4 linked regions of the Danio rerio genome follow. The protein of the gene in region 2 purifies or fractionates together with the protein of the main gene of each other region. This does not show direct contact. Links are inferred from orthologs where the notes say so. Each region holds a gene or a part of one and is shown on either strand. Other genes may lie near its edges. The genes, in order: ago2, tnrc6c1, cnot10 and pan2.

Region 1 (4,579 bases), on a different chromosome or scaffold from region 2:
ATTAAGACGTAATGAAATCTGTTGAGATCTCTGTCCTTCCATTGCAAGTCAAAGTAACTTAGACCGAAAAAGGTCAATATGGTGTAGTGAACTCAATTCATATTGACTGAGCTGCTATAAATGAATATAATTGCTTAACAAAATAAAGTGAGATAATTTTGTTCCCAAGAATAACCCAAGTCTTACAGGTTTGGAATGATCAATGGGTGACAGACTACATATTTTCGAGTGAACTAACCCTTTGAGTTTCATGGGAAAGCATCAAAGGACGTAAAGGACAACAAGAAATTGCCTCAAGCTTTCTGCATGTCAAAGGCATTTGTAACAGCTGCCCTCACCTGCCCTGTGGAAGAAGAATGTTGTTGACTCCACCCAGTTTGACGTTAATCTTGAGGCAGAGGTTAGAAAGGGTTTGAGGTGTGGTCTTCTGCACATTCTTCACCTGGACACACTGCGTGGCCATGCCGAGAACAGTGTCTCCAACACGCTTCACCTCAGCTGTAAGAATTTTAGCATTTAGAGTGTGTAAAAAATACACTAAAGATATGAGATGAAAAAAAAAATAATAATAATAATAATTAAATTACCATAAACAGGAGTCTTGCCGGGTAAGATGACCACCACCAACTGTAACCCTTGATAAGTGTACTTGAGGTGTTTGAACATGGGCTCCACACTGTCTGCTCCCTGGGCATATTTGCAAAAGCACGGCTGGCCCTGAATGGGCATCCCAGCATCACGTGAGATCTTACGAAGCTGGTCAGTGAAGGCCCTGAGGATACAAACATAGTATAAAAATCTGGGTCAGTATTTACTTTTGTAAAATAATTTCCTTAAATGCTAATATTTCTCTATGACAAAACAGGCAGATTAAGGTACAAATAAAAACAGGCAAAGTAGTGGCGCAGTAGGTAGCACTGTCGCCTCACAGCAAGAAGGTCGCTGGGTCACTGATTTGAGCCTGGAGTTTGCATGTTCTCCCTGGGTTCGCATGGGTTTCCTTCGGGTGCTCTGGTTTCCCCCACAGTCCAAAGACATGCAGTACAGGTGAATTGAGTAAGCTAAATTGTCCGTAGTGTATGAATGGGTGTGTGGGGATGTTTCCCAGAGATGGATTGCAGCTGGAAGGTCATCCGCTGCGTAAAAACGTGCTGGAAAGTTGGCGGTGCATTCCGCTGTGGCGACCCCAGATTGATAAAGGGACTAATACGATAAGAAAATGAATGAATGCATGAATGAAATCAAAACTAACCATATGATTTTTTAGCTGATATTGCTAGTTGTGGTGAACAATTTATCTGTGCATTTTATTAATAATAATAATAATAATAATAATAATAATTAATAATTGAAATCTGAAAATGCACTTCCTGGTTTTTTGGTTAACTTCTCAGATTACGTTTGTCTAAGGTATTGGGCGTGGCCAACATACTCAACTCTCCTTCAGCTGTCAATTTTGACAGCCAACAGAACTGATGAGGTGATGACTGTTAGATTATAATAACTCTCCCGAAGCCCTTTCCTGATCTTTCTGAATGAAATGCCTACTTTGCTACATCCAATCAGCTTGCAGCAGAAAAAACAAGTCACGGCAACTGATTTCTTATTTAATATTCTGTTTCTATAGCGACTGCATCACAATATGAAAAAAAAAAAGCGAACGCAGCTTCTGGTTCATGTGTACTTTAAAGTTGACTTACTTCAGCAGGAGTTCTGTGCACTGCCTCTGTGGGGCAAAGCAGGCAATGGCCCAAACTTTGATTTCAATCCCTGTGTGGAACTGCTTGTTCCTCATGTCCCACACGCCCTGGACTGGGGTTGCTATTGCTTTGTTCTGAAACAGCCAAAGACATGACCAAATTAGACAGGGATTCAACCAAATGCTGAGTTGAGCAGAGGAGATTCTTACCCTTCCACCATAGAGAATCGACGGTGCTTGAAGAACCCGACCATTGACTTCAGTCATATCGTCTCTTACCATGACTCCAAACTCACGCACATAAGGATCTGTATTGAAGTTGGCACTTCTCATCTGTTGCAAACAAATGAAGGTAAGGGTGAAATTTAATGCTCTGGTTCACACCTGTTACTAATGTCCATTTTCAGTGTTGCAATGGGCTATATGCACAGCTAGTGTTGTTCAGCCAATGATGAACTTCCGATGAAAGCAGGCTAGCACAGAAACTCCATTGAAAATACAATACTATTCAGTTGTAAATATTATTCAGTACTTTTTCCAAAAAATTTTATTAATGTATTGGTCAATAAAACATTAATTTCAAAATTATTTGACAAACAGCGACAAATAATTTTTGCTCCAACAGAGCCCCCCGCCCCACTGCACCATTTCTAAACAATGTTATGCCTATTTTAATCTGTTTTACATCATGTCATGATATATACATACATATAATACAAGTTATTAAAAGTTCCATTTTATGTTCACTCATCTATTGTACATATATACACACACAACGAGTCACAATAGGCTTGGCAAATGTAAAATAAAGAAATAAAATAATTTAGACAGAAATTAAAATATATTAAAATAAAATGAAGGGAGGGGAAAAAATGTGAAAAAAATAAACAACTGTTAAACTGAAAATTTTAACATACATTTGTTTTATATATGTCATAATTTCCATATTTTAAAGACAGGGCGCAGAGAAATATAATTTAACGCAGTGCATCTTGTTTGGTCCGATACCCACTTCATATTGTATCTCAGCCAGACAAGGAAGATTGCTTCTGATTTCTTAAAAAAAAAAAAAAAAAAAAAAAAAAAAGATCTTAAACGTGGCGATTTTATATGGGATGACAATTAAGAAGGAAATCCTGAGGCTGGGGCTTTACTGAAATTAAAAGTCTGTGTGCATATACCCCATATGAAATGGTCCAGCTTTATTTAACATCAGTTTAAAGTCTCTCTTGTGTTTGAATTTCTTTAAGACTCTTCCAACATTACTTTTGTGGAAGAACTACAAGTTCCACAAGTTTTACGTGAACACATATTACGCAGTGAGGGGCAAAGCTAGCAAAGAAATGATGTGGATGACAACTACAATTTCAATTGTATACTGTGTGTTATGATATAACACTTACATATGAATAAAGTGGTCCCTTACTATAAGGGGTTCACCTTTCGTAGCCTTGCAGATTTTGTGGAATTTGACATGCTTTTTTTTTTACAGCGCATTGTGTTCTGCGTCTTGATTAGTGCATTGTTCTGTGTCCTGATTGGCTGTAGACTACAGTCAATAAATCTCTGTTTGCAAGTTTTCTCCCCAACAAACCCCACAATGTCGACAAAACGTTCTGCACTAACAAAGGTGCCCTCGGTAGCACCCAAAAATAAGAGGAAGATGCTGACCATAAAACAAAAAGTTCTTCTGGACATGATTAAAGGAAGATAGACGTTACAAGGCTGTGGGGCGCCATTACAGAATAAAATTATCTTCTCAAACAAATGTTTGGGCCTGAAAAACTAGGTCTTTAGTTACATTCTATAATACTGGACTTATATTTTGAACTTTCAATGTGTTTAAATAAGAGAGAAAAGTGTAGAAAGTGTGTAATGAGGGGTTTTTACAGCTTTAAGATAAAGAAAACAATGTAAAAAAAAAAGTATAATAAATGTGAAAGTATTTCATCTATTGCAGGTTTTTTTTTTAGAATGTGACTGCTGCAAAAAACAAGAGACCACTGTATCTTGTTTTTGTGTGCTTTCACAACCCAACCCACAACAACCATGTGCTTAGTCAGTAGGCAGAGAGAAGGTGGTCTGTTGTGGCCGTGTGATTGCATTCAACCACAAATGTTTACACTACAAAAGCAATCCAATCCAACTATCTCTAGAGGTGGTTGAAAAACATTGTAGACTTAATTTACATCTGTATTCATTGTTGTTCATTTGAGATTGGATTGATGAAATACCAGGTGTATACGAGGCTTGGGAAACTGCAAAAGAATGGATAAAGAGCATACCAGTTTGCTGATCTCGTCCTGACGGTCGGGCGCAGACCTGGCTGTGGCACGTATCATAGTGGAGGTCTGATTGTCTGTCAGTTTCTTGATGCATCGCTGCCCGGCTACAATGTTGCAGACCTGAAATTTTTTAAATAATAATAACAACAAATTTTAGAAAAGGAAATGAGAGAAAAAGGGGGAAAAGCAAGTCCAGGATGTGGTTTCAACCAACCTCCAACGGAAGGTAGGTGTGTTTCTGCTCCTGACCAACTTGTAAACATGGGAGATGTGGGTATCGAAGCACCAGTTTGTACTTATCCTTGAAGTACTGGGCGACAGTGCATTCAATGGTCTGACCATTCTCTTGCTGCAAAGGAAACCTAGAGACAAACAAAATACATTTTAAAGACATCAGCTTCAAAATAATGAATCTTTCAATGAGAAATATTAAATGTGATGACAAAAAATAGAATACACTATACAAAACGCATGGTTCCACACAATTCAACCATGTGGTCTCAACACAAATCCGTCAAGTTTAATGCATTAAATTTGTCCTGCTTTTTTTAGTGTTTTTTCAGCTTATATTAAATAAGCAGTTTGAACAAGAAGC
Region 2 (5,156 bases):
ATTATTTTCCATAATTAAAAACTTTTCCAGTAAGCATCGGATAAAAAGATCCAGGCGCAATCTTCAGTACTGATTGGCATAAACAAAATGATTGAATTTGACTGTAGATATTAAACTTGACAAGACATAAAGGTTTTCAAAAACCTCTGTGCAAATAAAAAAAAAAATATCAATAATATACTATTGGCATTGATGGTTTTATAAACAATATTTATCAACGAAAGACTGGGGGAAAAAAACTTTTTACATTTTTTTTTAGATTTTTGATTAATTTTTTGGTTTTTCACACCACAAGCATAAAAAAAACAGTTTTCATTCAAATTTTGTTTAGGGAGCCTAAAAAAAGAAGAAGGCAGCGTTTCCATTCAATGAGTTAAAGAGAACAAAATCGACACTTCCTGATTAACTAAAATCGATAAATGTGTTTCCACACATTTTTTGCGCATGTTTTCTTTTCGAATATAAACTTTATCCTACTTAGTTATGTGCATATGTTTTTTAACCGCATTTTCAAAACTTTTGCGCATCCTTTCGTTTTCATCACTTTTTTATGTGCATATACAAAATGTGTAAATAGGTGGATGCAAACATAGCTAATGTAAAAAACACTTTTTGCCTGTACACTTAGCATAAAAGATAAACCACTGGTTAAACAAAAAAACTAATGAAAACAAAATAATTTCAAGATAATTTATAAAGAATGTAAAACCCGATAAGAGATTCATTCAGCAAAATATGTCAACAGTGAATGTTTCCTTTAGCGTAGACTGATACTGGAAGCTCAGACGGGATCCTCTATTGTGGCTTTAAATACAGATCCTGAAGTGAATCTTACATGTGCGAATGTACACTTGCAAATGTAAAATGTTTTTACCAGAAAACTGCACATGCACAAAAGGAAAAGAAAATAACAGTTGTTTGCAGGATACACAAAGAGATAAACAGGTGCAAGCTAATGCTGCCTTCAAAGCAATTTGATAAATTGTGGCACAGTTTTACTTGAACAATACTCAACACTTTACCAACTGTGGTTTGGACAGAAGACACATTTCATTCATATTACAGTGACTCTATTTTTAAGGTTTTGGCTTTTTACAAAAACTAGTCTATCCTGACACTGACCTAAGAGATGCAATTAGTGGTTTGATCTGTGGTTATTATGGTCTTGCTCAAAATGCCACAGTCACAATACAGGAACTTTTACACAGGAATCACACAGCAGACATGATCATTTCACTAGCAATAAATGACCAAACGTGAAGCCACACAGTGCAAATCCCTAGCCACATAATGCTGGTGAGGCTCCATAAGAACAAGCTGAGAGAGGCAATGTGACCTAAGCTTTATGGTAATCTGAGCATTAAGTGGCCTCTTTTTGTCTGACCCTTTTTCACTCTTGGAGAACACACAGCCCTTTTCAAAGGTCTGCCTCTGACAGGGGCCCCCTGACCCTGGGAGGGGAGCAGAAACTCTCCTTGCCAAATTAGCAACTGCACCACATGAACAGTCATGGGGACGTTTGACATTGGTGCTGTCCTCAGACGGAAAGCACGTTAGCGGGATCCTGCTTTGAGGTGAAAACGTACGTAGCTACATTTGGGAGCACAGTATTGGTGAATATATCAGGCGGTGGACATTCAGTATTAATAAAGACTCTAGAAAAAGAAAATAAGCACTGACAACCATTCTCTGACAGCTTAAATTGTTTGACTTCTGTTTATTGTGAATTTCGTAGCAATAACAACAGGATGACGTAGTAACGTTAACTGACGTTTCGATGGAAACTTAGACACAGTCTCGTAATAATTACTAAACGCTAGTTTTATTTTATTTGATAAGCCTGAATCTTGCCGTCAATATCAAAATGACAGAGCCTCGAGCGCACAGTGAAGGGAGACGCGTTGGTCAGACATGCAAGGGTTATTTCTAATCCAAAGACCCATAAATATCACAATCACAGCAGTTCTTTCTCTATAAATTCGTCGCCCGGGGTTTGTCGTTAACGTTAGCGCGACTCTCCACAACAACAACATAACCTCAAACACCAGCGAGATATGCCTCCAAAACAACATTTTGAGCACCAAAAAGATGTGACGGGACTCCCAGCAAACACTGGACACATGTATTTACACAACACACAATCAAACTCTAGCGTTAACTAAACGCAATACACAAATCACAAGTCATATAGACTAACATTATGGATCTTGAGCAGGAATTGAATCCGATAGAAAAGATGCTTATCCCGCATATCTGTTTAGAAAATGGGCCAATGTTGATTTACGGGGGAGTAAACATTTGCACACGTAAGCTATTTCCAGCCACCAAAACAAAAAGACCGCACGTTGTTAAAGATCCTGCGCGTATGTCTGCTTTTGGTGGTGTCTCTAATTCTGGATAGAATGTCACTGGCTGTCAAAATACTATAAAGGCTCGAAAGTGAATCCTAAAATGACGCATTGCCACTGTAAACAGAAACAAGCACACCCCGCCCACGTAAACATTAAAACATTTATCAAAAAGCCTTATCTTACCTTTATTTCGCACACGGAGCAACTGCAGTTTGCGGTTCAGATGGGGTGCATAAGCTGCATGGTGAAGGAGGATGTTGTCGATACCCGTACTGACACAGATCAGATATATTCAGTCGCAGTCAGACTCTCTCGCTCTTGCAGTGAACTGCAATGGCGAGCCTGACTTTCCAGTTGAGGAATTCACCTCTTATTATGCAGTGGAATTTATCCAGAGGGGGGAAAGAAACAATCTCTAAAAACAAATACCAGTGCAAACAGTGAAAAGGACATTAAACGACAATTCTGCACGTCAGCGAGCAAGCTTAAGGTTGATCAAGTGTAACATTTCGGCGATTTTAAGAAGCAGCTTCACGCGCGCACCCTCACAGACGCGCGCGCACTGGCAGTTTGAGCTTTAGTATGCTTTTGGATGTATATAAAGTGCGTAAAGGGAAATCTTTCAGCATGCCTTTCAGCTCGATAACACGTATGCAAACGAGTCCACACGAATTAATGTCCCAATGCTCGGAAATTCCAATGCATCCATTTGAAACGATTCTGCACTGACGTGAAGCGTTCACTGGGATTTCGTTTGTGGCGCTCCAGCAGCCATTTTGTTGAAACTGACAACAGCGGCTCAAGTCTCGGCAGAGTAAAACAGGAAGTGCCCCCATTCCCCAGCGACAAGTCACGTGACGTCAACTCACAAACAATCCAACCCCTCCGTTAAAATATATCGCTCCACCTTCACTGTTGCTATGAGAACGAGGGTCAGGAACCACCTCCATCCACCAACAACACTGGCTGACGTGCAGCAGCAGCGGCAGCAGCTATCTCTGGTGTGTCTCTCGTCCTATTAATCAATAACAAGGCTTTCTCAGCAGTGCTTTAAAATGTAGTTATATCAAAGCGGTTCTAAAGAAACCTTACATCCATTTTTAGTCGTGGAGTTTAACGTCCCGCATCAAATCTGATTTTGGTGAAGTCGTCGTTTCTCCACCAGACGGCGCTATTTCAGCTAGCCAATAGACATGGCTTATACTCATGTTAATTATAGTTAACTTATTAACTGGATAGCTTACTATTAAGGGCCTTTCTATCGTGTATAGATGTTTTTATAACAATTATATTAGGAAAATCCTAACTGCAAATAAAAGTGTTCTTCCAATAGCAATGGTTAAATGGAAACATTCCCTTCACCCTTCATTTGTTCTTAATAAGTTTCATTCCTTCATTCATTCATTCATTCATTCATTCATTCATTCATTCATTCATTCATTCATTCATTCATTTTCTTTTCAACTGAGTCCCTTTATTAATCTGGGGTCGCCAAAGCGGAATAAACCGCCAACTTATCCAGCACAAGTTTTACACAGCGGATGTCCATCCAGCTCCAACCCTTCACTGAAAAACACCCACACACTTTCATTCACACTCATAAACTATGGTCAATTTAGCCTATCCAATTCACCTATAGCGCATGTCTTTGGACCTGTGGGGGAAACCGAAGCACCCGGAGGAAATCCAATCAATCACAGGGAGAACATGCAAACTCCACTCAGAAATGCCAACTGACCCAGCCAAGGCTCAAACCAGCAACTTTCCAGCTGTGAGGCAATCATGCTACCCACTGCGCCACTGTCACCCTCCCTTTAGTTTATGTCATAATAATAATAAACACTCTGGTTTATTGTGTAAACAGTCTTTTCTAATGTGCTTTCCCTAAAGCACTCAATTAATCTGAAATCTCATAATATAGCTCATTCATTCATTTTTTTCACCTTAGTCCCTTTATTATTCAGGGGTCGTCACAGTGGAACGAACCACCAGCTTGTCCATCATATCTTTAACACAGCGGATGCCCTTCCAGCCACAACCCAACAGTGGAAAACACCATATAGCTCATAACCTGGTTGCAAAATATGTGCCTCATAATTTAAGACACATCACTCAACGGTAACATGCACATCATTTGTATATGGGACATTCTACTAGAAACGTACATTATCTGTCATAAATACAGTGAATAAAGTGTATTTCATTCCAAAAATGTCTAAAATGGACTAATGGTTGATTTCTGTGAGTTGTTTTGTAAAGGAATATGTCATTTATCTGGTTCTCAGATTTTTGTTCTTTATTAAAAGCACTTTACAGACACAAACTGTCATTGTCCATGTCCTCAGCCCAGTTGAACCGACAGCTTTTATAGTTTTGTTAAGCTAAAAACTGTTATTTGGAAACAAAAAATGCTTCAGAAATAGCAAGTTTAAGGTGTTATCATTCACATCAATTGGTTAGAAACATATTATTTTAATTAGATTCTACAAATAATTACTGCAAATATATAATAATAATAAATGTACAATTGTTCCCGTGTTTCTGTTCAGTACTGTCACATTTGCATTAAATCTAACAAAATGCGTGCATTACATGTTTAAGGCCATGACTCGGAAGTGGCATGATTTGACCGAGAAGAAGCTGACAGTGATCAAGGATGCATTCTACCATTGAATTGTATGATTTTATGCATGTTTTGTATGGCAAGCTTAAGTCAGGCCCTGTCATGTTTTTAATTATTTAAAACTAAAAACGTTTTTTGGTAGAATGTCTCATACACATGTGAAGTTTCATAAAGAAATATGG
Region 3 (4,579 bases), on a different chromosome or scaffold from region 2:
GTTTCTTACATTATTTAAAAATATATATTTTCTTCAAAGTCATTAGTTGTATTTTTCTTCTCAATACGAAATAAGATATTTTGAGGAATGTTTGGACAGCCAAGTAAAATAAAAATAAAAATATGAGAGTCAATGAATACTGGTTTCTAACATTCTTAAAAAATAAATTCTTGTGTACAACAAAGAAAGAAAGAAAGTCATGAGGGTTTGAAAAGCGAGTAAATGAGGACAGAATAAGTAATTAAATACATAAAAACCACTAACCATCGACTTTCATAGTATTTGTGCTTTTCCTTCAATGGAAGTCAATGGATACTAGTTTCTTACATTCTTGAAAAAAATTTAAAAAAAAAAAAAAAAAAAATATATATATATATATATATATATATATATATATATATATATATATATATATATATATATATATATATATATATAAATTATTTTCTTCAAATCCATTAGACATTTTATTTTCTTCTCAATACAAAATAAGATAATTAGAAGAATGTTGGATAGGCACATTATGGCAAAAAATATACTATGGAAGTCAATGGATACTGGTTACTTGCGGTCTTTAAAAATATATATTTTCTTCAAATTCATTACAAGTTTTGTTTTTTCTCAATACAAAATAATATATTTGAAGAATGTTGGAGAGCCACATTATGGCAAAAAAAGTCAACGAATACTGGTTACTTACATTCTTAAACACATATATTTTCTTGCATTCAACAGAGAATGAAAGTCATGCGGCTTTGAATCGCGAGTAAATGAGGACAGAATAAGTAATTAAGCAAATAAAAACCTGTAACCATCGACTTTCATAGTGTGTTTTTTTCTCCTTCAATGGAAGTCAATGAATACTGGTTTCTTAAATTCATTAAAATATATACATTTTCTTCAAAATCATTAGTTTAATAATTTAATAATTAATAATTCTGATTTCAATGGTATATTATAGTAATATTATAGTAATAATATATTACAGTAATTATAATATATGAATAAATAATAGCTTTCATTTGATGAAAAAGCAAATATGTATTAATATTGTGCTTAAATAGGAAACTATTTGGTACAATAAATTATTATGAAACTTACACAATTGCAATTTCAAGTTGTTTCAAGTACTTTATCCAAAAATTAAAGTATCAAAGTACTTTTCAAACCTTTACAACACTAGATTAAAATTCAAGCATATTCAATGTATGCCTTGTTCAAAGAGTACCCATACAAACCCATTACATAAAAGTTTTGGAACAATAAAGGCTGAGTAAAAGGCCAACTATCCCTTTAATGTCTTTGAATGTTATTTGTTCTGAGAGAGAAAAGAATAAGTGCAAAAGGATGACATCTTCTGGTGAAACCCTGTCACTACAGTGCATCATACAGTGCATGAATTGGAAATCGCATCCCTCCAATCAGGCAGACACAATCTCAAGCAGCTACATTTTGTAACTCCATTAATAATTAGCAAAATCATGGTTCATTAGTCCAAAATTATTAATACCTGTAGATGGTGTTTTGTGTGGACTGTGATGCTAGAACAATCTTGCGATGGTAGCCCTGCCCAACAACCGCCTGCACGATGCCCTTTTTACTGGGTAAACCTTTTGTTTCCTGCTCCGAACTCTAAGAGGAAACAAATGAAGGAAAGGTTATTAAAATAAATATGAATGTCAAATATATTTCAAAATCATCAATATACTACAAAAAGGTGTTTCCAACTTTAACAAATCTGGTCATACCAAAATAATTTTAAAAACATGCAAATGGTTTTAAGCATTTGACGTGAACAGACTTTAAATACGACAAAAGAAGTATGTTTCAATTTCTATTTCATTCAATTTCTTTTCTGCTTAATCCCTTTATTAATCAGGGCTTGCCACAGCGAAATGAACCACCAATTTCTATTTGATATGTTTATATTTCTGTTTCAAAGTTCAAAGTTTTATTTTAAGTTCAAAATAACAATATTTAAATAATAAAAATTAGTAAACACTAAAAAAAGTTGTTATTTTATAGATTTAAAAAAAAAATAGTTCAGCTAAAAATTATTATTTACTCACTATTTACTCACCCTAAAGAGTTTACAAACTTTTATAAGTTTGAAACAAAAGATATTCTGAAGAAAGCAGAAAACCTGTAACCATTGACTTCCATAGAATGAAAAAAAGTACTATGAAAGTCAATCGTTACAGGTTTTTATTCATTCTTTAAAGGATCTTCATTTGTGTTTAACAGAAGAAAGAAACTGAAACAAGTAAAGAGTGAGTAAATAATGATTGAATTTTAATTTTTAAGTGAAATATCCCTTTAATGACACTTTTCTAGGTATAACTATTACCCCCAAACTTTTGAATGGAAGTGTACTATTTAGAGGTTGGGGGAGTCTTTCATGTAAAAACAAAAACAAAAAACAGATGTGGGTTAATGTCTGTACCCCTTTATTAGCTGTGATGCAGCACTCTGCCAGTCTTAGCCAGAGTCGAGGGTTGGAGTGATACACCTGTACAGCCTCCATCAGACACTCAAACGCTGCCAGCGGTCGGCCAATATGGAGTAGCTGAATCCCGCAGTTATACAGCAGCTCATAGCGCTTATTCGCTAACAGAGCACACATGGGGATACCACTGAACTTCTTAGATGCTATGGGGGAGGAAAAAACAATGTTAAATACGAGGCTGGGAGAATATGCAATATTTCTTACAATACTAACTTGAAAAAAAAATTATTTATGGTATGATCATACTAAAATAAGCAGGTAATTAATATTTTTTTCTGAGCTAATTGAATAATACAAGGTATTTATTTTATTTAATGCCATGTCAGCAACCCAGGCCATTTTCATGGCAAGAACATTTCAATAATAAATGTACAATTAAAAACAACAAAAAATGCATTCTTTTTAAAGTTTTTGTAGAATTTCTTTGTAAAACTATTTGATTTATTTATTATTTTTATTTTATTTATTATAATTTTTTTATTCATCTTTTGAAGTCTACCAGGGGGATGGGCGGTAGTGGGTTTTAAACAAACAAAAAACAAACGAGCACATAAATTAAATAAGATTTTAATATAGGATAAAAATTCTAAAGTGTGTCACTTTGTTAAAAATGGTAAAAGTACCGTAATTAATACATAGACTAAGAAAAATCTGAAAATATAGCGTAAGACCAATTTATTTGAATAAATTACCAAACCAAAACATTTTTGAATGCTATTTCATCTTTATTTTTTTAAGTATGCCATAAAATATTTCATATTTTCATTTAACATGTTGCTGTTTTGTTATTTTTTTTACAATAAAAGCAAAATCAAGTTTAGTAGTGCAATGGGATTATGTTTGTTTATTATTTTTGTGAATCAACAACGCTGTGTAGTGTAAACTACTATTTAAAATGGTCATTTTTAAATGACTTTAACAGTCATTATTGAAAACAGTCAAAACATGGTCAACCATTTGGTGGAGCAGGCAATTAAAGGCTTAAAATGTTTTATTTTTTATTTATTTTTTTAAGTAAAACTGCTTTTATTCTAGTCGAAATAAAACAAATAAGACTTTCTCCAGAAGAAAAAAATATTATAGGAAATACTGTGAAAATTTCCTTGCTGTTAATCATCATTTTGGAAATTAATAAAAAAATAAATAAATAAATAAATAAATGTAAAATTTTTTTTACTTTAACAGTCAAGGTTTAAAACTTAAAGACTTTAAAAATGACTGAAAACTTTAGCGGAAATAAACAACCCATGTATACAGCACACAAATGCTTGGCACAAAAATATATTTAATTGTAAGTGATGTATTACATATACTATTATCACAGTATTGATATTTTTTCAATATATCCTACGCCTGTAATGTTAACTAACAAACTTGCAAGATATCCATAAATCACAATTTGTCCTCAAGTCCTGATCATCTTACCCTGCGCATTACTGCCGTCGCCAATCTGGGCGCATGTGTGGTCATTTTCTTGAAGTGCTTTTTTAAAGTAAAACAGACCAAGGTTGTGCTTCCCCATGGCAAAATGGATACAGCCCAGGTTATTCCAAAACATACACCTCACACATTCACCTTTGGAAAGTGGAGAAAAAAAAGCACAAGCACAAACATCAGAGAGAGAGAGAAGTTTTAACTGGAATTTTTTTTTTAATAAGCAAGCTATGTTACTAAGAATTTATGCAAATTGTATTTATTGTAAATTGTATTTATTAAGATGTATGCTAGATATCACGTTATGGAACATATTTACATTTTTACATATATAAAGACAATAAGAATCTGTTTTAGTTGTTCCCTCTGTTTAGCTTAAAGAGATTGACAGTAACTTTAAAGGTGCTGTATGCAAGTCTTTGAATCTTGTAAAGCATAAAAATACCATGATATGTTTGCAGATATTTAAGAAACATCCTAAGTGAACATTCTTTTTTATCTGAAAAACATTGCTTAAGTCAGATATTCTGCTATGAAAATGTGTGTAACGTGCTGGAACAGTGTCTTTGTTTTGGTTCTTTTAACCCGAAACACGACAGAAATTTAAATACAGCAATTCAGAAGCACAGAATTGTGCAC
Region 4 (5,116 bases), on a different chromosome or scaffold from region 2:
GCTAATGTTATCTTATGCATGTATGTGTTTATGTATATATGTGATATTTAACCTTATTATTTCTATACTTATTTAGTGTATAATTATGTTTTCCTGATAATTACATGTTTGGTGAAATGTATCAGTGCCTGATTTTTATGGCATTTTATGCATATATGTATGAATATTATTTCTTATTCTATTTAAAGTGTTATTTTTTGTCTGACCTAAGATGAACCCAATAAAGCAAATGATAAAAAAAATTATATATATATATATATATATATATATATTAGTATTATCATTCAATTATTATTAATGTAATAATAATAGTAATATTAATAATGATAATAATAATAATTAATATTAGAGTGACTTTGTAAGGATCATGTGACTGAAGAATGGAGTAATGAAGCTGAAAATTCCTCTTTAAAATCACTGGAATAAATTATTAAATTAATTGATAAACTACTTTTAAACAGTTATTTTATAGTGCAATAACATTTCACAATTTGTACTGTATTTTTAATTAAATAAATGCAGCCTTGGTGAGCAGGAGAGGCTTATTTTAAAACATTTCAAAATCTGAGAGCTAGTAAAAGCTCACTTCACTTCAAATTACCAACAAATTTACCTTTTTGTGTAAACCATCTCTTTAAAACTGAGCACTTATAATGATTAATTCATAAAAAAATGATAATTACTTCAGCATCATCTGAAGGCCTAAAATTCTGCTTTGCCATCACAAAAATAAATAAATATTTTTTTAAAGTTTGAAAAAAGAAACAGTACACTTAAATTATAAAATAGATTTTACGTTACATAATGTATTTTTGATCAAATAATTGCTTTGATGAGCATAACACACTTCCAAACACCCCAAAATAATCGTAGCATTCTAAACAATCATGCAGCAGTGTAAAAACAGTAATGAATGTGTCTCTTCACCCGGTGGTTCCCCATCCAGAGCAACTCCTCCTGCAGATCGAAGTGTGTGGCTGTCACAGGGATCCCGACTTCAGCTGCCACGCTGTGCAACTCCGAGTACATGCCTTCCACTATGTGCACAGACTCTGACACAGCCAGCCCATCGGGGTCGATCTCCACACCCTGCAGTAGCGCCGGGTCGAGCCGCGGGTCCAGGGAAGAGTCCAGACCGGGCTCCAGGCCACCATGCAGGCCAGGCGCATAATCGCCCAAACCCGGGTCCAGACCCTCGAAGTTCATCATGAGGACGGTGCTGATGGGGTACAAAAAAAAATTGTGAAATTAAGTAATTTAGGTCCCTTATATATATATTTTCCTGTTTGTATGCTTTCACATGAGTATTCCCAACACATCAACCAAAAGTATTTATTTACTGATCATTTTACTGTCCTTATTTTTCCTCATAAATGATTGGTTTCATGGCCCGTTTCACTGCTCTGTTTCCAGTTCCTTCTTAAAATATGGACATAAGCTTAGTATTTTTTTATTCTTCTATACTTTTGGATTAAGATACATAATATACACATATATCTTTACATAATTATATTGTTCTTGCTTGTTTTATAATTAATTTACAAGATAATTTTTTATTAATATACATTTTACTAATACTTCTGCTGTTTGTTTTATCAGTAAAGTAATTATTGAAAACTGAATGTTTCTAGAAATGTTATTAGCATGAAACATCACAGCAGTTAATTAAAACTACATCTGCCGGCAACTAGCTCACTGCAGCTCTCACATGGTCGTCCACTGAAGCTAAGCAAGGCTGCGCTGGGTCAGTACCTGGATGGGAGACCACATGGGAAAGATAGGTTACTGCTGAAAGTGGTGTTAGTGAAAACAGCAGGGGGAGCTCAACCCTGCGGCCTGTGTGGGTCCTAATGCGCAGTATATTGCTAGGTACTCTATACTGCTCAGTGAGTGCCGCAGTGAAATGTTAAACCTGATTCTCTGTGGTCATTAAAAAATCCCAGGATGTCCTTTGAAAAAGAGTAGGGCAGGGGTGGCCAACCATGTTCCTGTGTTCCTGGACAGCCACTTTCCTGCAGATTTCGGTTGCTACCCATATCAAAAACACCAGAACCAATTAGTTACTACCTGAACACCACGTAATAATTACTGGCAGGTGTGTTTGATAAGGGTTGCAACTGAAATCTGCAGGAAGCTGGCTCTCCAGGAACAGGGTTGGCCACCCCTGGAGTAGGGGTTTAATCCTGACCAAATTTGACCACTGGCCTCCTAACCATCCCCATATTGTAATTAGCTTCATCCCTCTGTTTCCTCTCCACCACTCAGCTGGTTGTGTTATCCAGGTGGATGCTGCACACTGGTGGTGGATGAGGAGATCCCCCCCCAAAAAATGTGTGGCTTTGGCTTTGAGTGTCCAGAAAAGCGCTATATAAAAGGAATTATTTTTATTATCATTACATGCACAAAAAGGTTCAGTTTCTATGGATTTATGAGTTTATATATATATATATATATATATATATATATATATATATATATATATATATATATATATATATATACACACACACACACACACACACACACACACACACACACATACATACATACATACACACACAAATTATATATATATATATATATATATATATATATATATATATATATATATATATATATATATATATATATATATATATATATGAACATAATCTTACCTGACTGGAAGAAGTGCCATCAATAGTTTACTCAAACATATGTGTTTAACACAACAAATAAATAAACATATTGTGGGGGTGAAATGGACAGTTTCTTTATTGAACTGTTCTAAATGATAACAATTGAAGGAAATGTTATCTGACCTCCAAATAATGAAATAACTATAAAGATTTTACTCAAAATCATAACTTATAAATCCAGAGAAACTGAAAGAACTGACAAATGGTTTCTCAATTTGCGTGAGAATTTTCAAGCTGTCATAGAGACTTCATAGCAGCTTCTTAAACCCACTGAGCTGCCAAGCATATATCTTTATATCTTTAGTTTAGCCTAACAAGAGACTAGACGACAACAACACTGATTTAGGTAACGTTAGACAGCTCACTTTTTGAAACACAATCAAACTTCCCTGCTTGTTAACTAATCCACGTAAACAAGCTGGAAGTTACATAATCAATGTTTGTAATAGTGTCTATGTGCACTACAAGATAATTATGGTACAATATAAATTGGCCTGCATGACATTATTCTATGAACTGGCGTGCATGACATTTTCCTGTGCATATGACGACTGGCACTTGTGTACGGTTTCATTTAGCTTTCGACAGCATTTCAGAAAGAGTATTACAAGTCCTTCTTTTAATATTTGTACAAGATAAATCATACCTTTAGACTATAGTTATCCTCGTATCCATATGCTCATGCTACTCGCTTCATTCAAAACAAAAACAACCGCGCACTTCCGGGTAAGCCTAATCTGCTTCCGGTATCCTCAACCGGCGCTTTAACTGTGTCACAGATGAAATATTTAAACATCTGTCAGTCATTTAGTCTTTGAAACATTTAATTTAGTAAATAATCTATATTTAATTCTTTAGAAACGTCTTATTTTTTCACAAAAAATCAGTATAACCTAATGTTGTAACTTAATGGTGTGACCCAAAGACATGAGGGCATTTCTTAATACAATTTACTTTAGTTTATCGTCTAATTACACAAACAAAATATAAATCAATAAAAAAAATGGCTGATATGGAAAAATTCCAATGCTATAGGTATTTATTAATGAATTACTACTTTTTTTTACAGTCTATGAGTAGTGTAGTTCAGGGCTGTGGCCGGCCTGGTGAAAGGGATGGTTCTTTTTTCTCAAAAAGTGGACCTTTTTGCAGTTACAGGCCTCATTTAGGCTCGATTTCAGCTGAAATAGCTTGTTGGGTGGTCATATTACCAAAAAAGTACATTTGAAAATTCATGGATAACATCAATAGCCAAATTATTATTGAAATTCATTTTAATATTGGTCACTTTTATTGCGTCAAACCTATTCATTGGTAATTTTTTGTTTCAAGAATAAGGTCCAAGATTTAGAATAAAAGTTACTTGTAGAATATTTTCTCTATTTAAAAACAATACAGTAGCAAAAGATGACTTCACTTACGTCAGATTGTATGTTTTACTGCACAGCTGGATGTTGAACTCGTGAAAAATAATTGTGTGCATTGGACAAAACTGATTAACTGAAGTCACACTGAAGCGACAGCCAACAGAGGATTTCACTTGGTCATAAAACCTTTTTCAATTGGTTATTTTCACTATTTATGATGGCATAGCAATTAAAATAGGACAAATGAGCTCATGTATGGGGAAAAACTATAGATGTTTGTCAGTGAGGGGTGGGTCTTTAGAATCACCCAAACCCCCCTGGCTATGGGCCTGTAGTAGCTTCAAAAGAAACAAGATAAAAAAAAAATCCACGGTATAAAGTCAGCAGCTTATCAGTCACAAATGGTTCATATTCATGGGAGAAATTCTGTGTGTGATCTGCATGCTTTGCTCTCACTTCCTCATTGATAAGTCCTCGAATTGGGGAAACTCTCTCATTCAGGATTCTAAGAAAAGTGGTTTGGTTTATATAGCTGTGGAAGTTCTATAATTTCTATTGCCCTTAATGAAAGAATTGTTTTCAATGAATTTCTGAATGAGAGAATCTACAAGAGGTTTACCTCCCCAAATTCTCGTGAATGTCGATTGTGCTGTGCTGAGAAAATTCCTGTAATTGTGTACTGATGATGTACTGATGACTCTAATTAAAGCAAAGTAGAGGTGCGCTCCAAAAAATACCTTGTTTTACAAGTCAGCTATTACATTTGTGTTTTTGGTACTCTCCAGATCCATGCTTTATTTTCATAAGTCATAAATGATTGGTAATCCTGTCAAAATTCATACAACAATACCCATCACGTTGCCGTGCAGTAGTTCAGCATTGATTCTGTTTTATACATGACACATCATTACATCATCTAACTTCCTGTATCACTTTTGCTATGCCTTTTTTGTGGATCAAAAGTTTGTGTATCTGTTTATACAATGGACAGGTTCAGCTCATCCTTTTGTGTTTCAAAGTAAATAGGAAGCTGTGGACTAAAAGTAATTGTTAGAATATCAATCAGCAATC

The links.
Region 1: the proteins of tnrc6c1 (region 2) and ago2 purify together in Homo sapiens (co-immunoprecipitation; 6 studies listed by BioGRID and IntAct, with this or other methods). This does not show direct contact. The link is inferred for Danio rerio from reciprocal best matches to the Homo sapiens genes TNRC6C and AGO2.
Region 3: the proteins of tnrc6c1 (region 2) and cnot10 purify together in Homo sapiens (co-immunoprecipitation; 3 studies listed by BioGRID and IntAct, with this or other methods). This does not show direct contact. The link is inferred for Danio rerio from reciprocal best matches to the Homo sapiens genes TNRC6C and CNOT10.
Region 4: the proteins of tnrc6c1 (region 2) and pan2 purify together in Homo sapiens (affinity purification with western blotting; 3 studies listed by BioGRID and IntAct, with this or other methods). This does not show direct contact. The link is inferred for Danio rerio from reciprocal best matches to the Homo sapiens genes TNRC6C and PAN2.

The regions. Positions count from the first base shown.
Region 1 is NC_133194.1:44,210,647-44,215,225, reverse strand, and holds part of ago2 (protein argonaute-2), read right to left. Parts: intron 4,347-4,579; coding exon 4,199-4,346; intron 4,105-4,198; coding exon 3,985-4,104; intron 2,033-3,984; coding exon 1,701-2,032; intron 773-1,700; coding exon 588-772; intron 499-587; coding exon 339-498; intron 1-338.
Region 2 is NC_133178.1:33,188,932-33,194,087, forward strand, and holds the start of tnrc6c1 (trinucleotide repeat-containing gene 6C protein), read right to left. Parts: upstream 3,139-5,156; 5' UTR 2,535-3,138; intron 1-2,534. UniProt on the Homo sapiens protein: Plays a role in RNA-mediated gene silencing by micro-RNAs (miRNAs). Required for miRNA-dependent translational repression of complementary mRNAs by argonaute family proteins.
Region 3 is NC_133191.1:8,047,033-8,051,611, reverse strand, and holds part of cnot10 (CCR4-NOT transcription complex subunit 10), read right to left. Parts: intron 4,082-4,579; coding exon 3,932-4,081; intron 2,650-3,931; coding exon 2,444-2,649; intron 1,633-2,443; coding exon 1,511-1,632; intron 1-1,510. UniProt on the Homo sapiens protein: Component of the CCR4-NOT complex which is one of the major cellular mRNA deadenylases and is linked to various cellular processes including bulk mRNA degradation, miRNA-mediated repression, translational repression during translational initiation and general transcription regulation.
Region 4 is NC_133198.1:34,920,659-34,925,774, reverse strand, and holds the start of pan2 (PAN2-PAN3 deadenylation complex catalytic subunit PAN2), read right to left. Parts: upstream 3,418-5,116; 5' UTR 3,325-3,417; intron 1,220-3,324; 5' UTR 1,210-1,219; coding exon 928-1,209; intron 1-927. UniProt on the Homo sapiens protein: Catalytic subunit of the poly(A)-nuclease (PAN) deadenylation complex, one of two cytoplasmic mRNA deadenylases involved in general and miRNA-mediated mRNA turnover.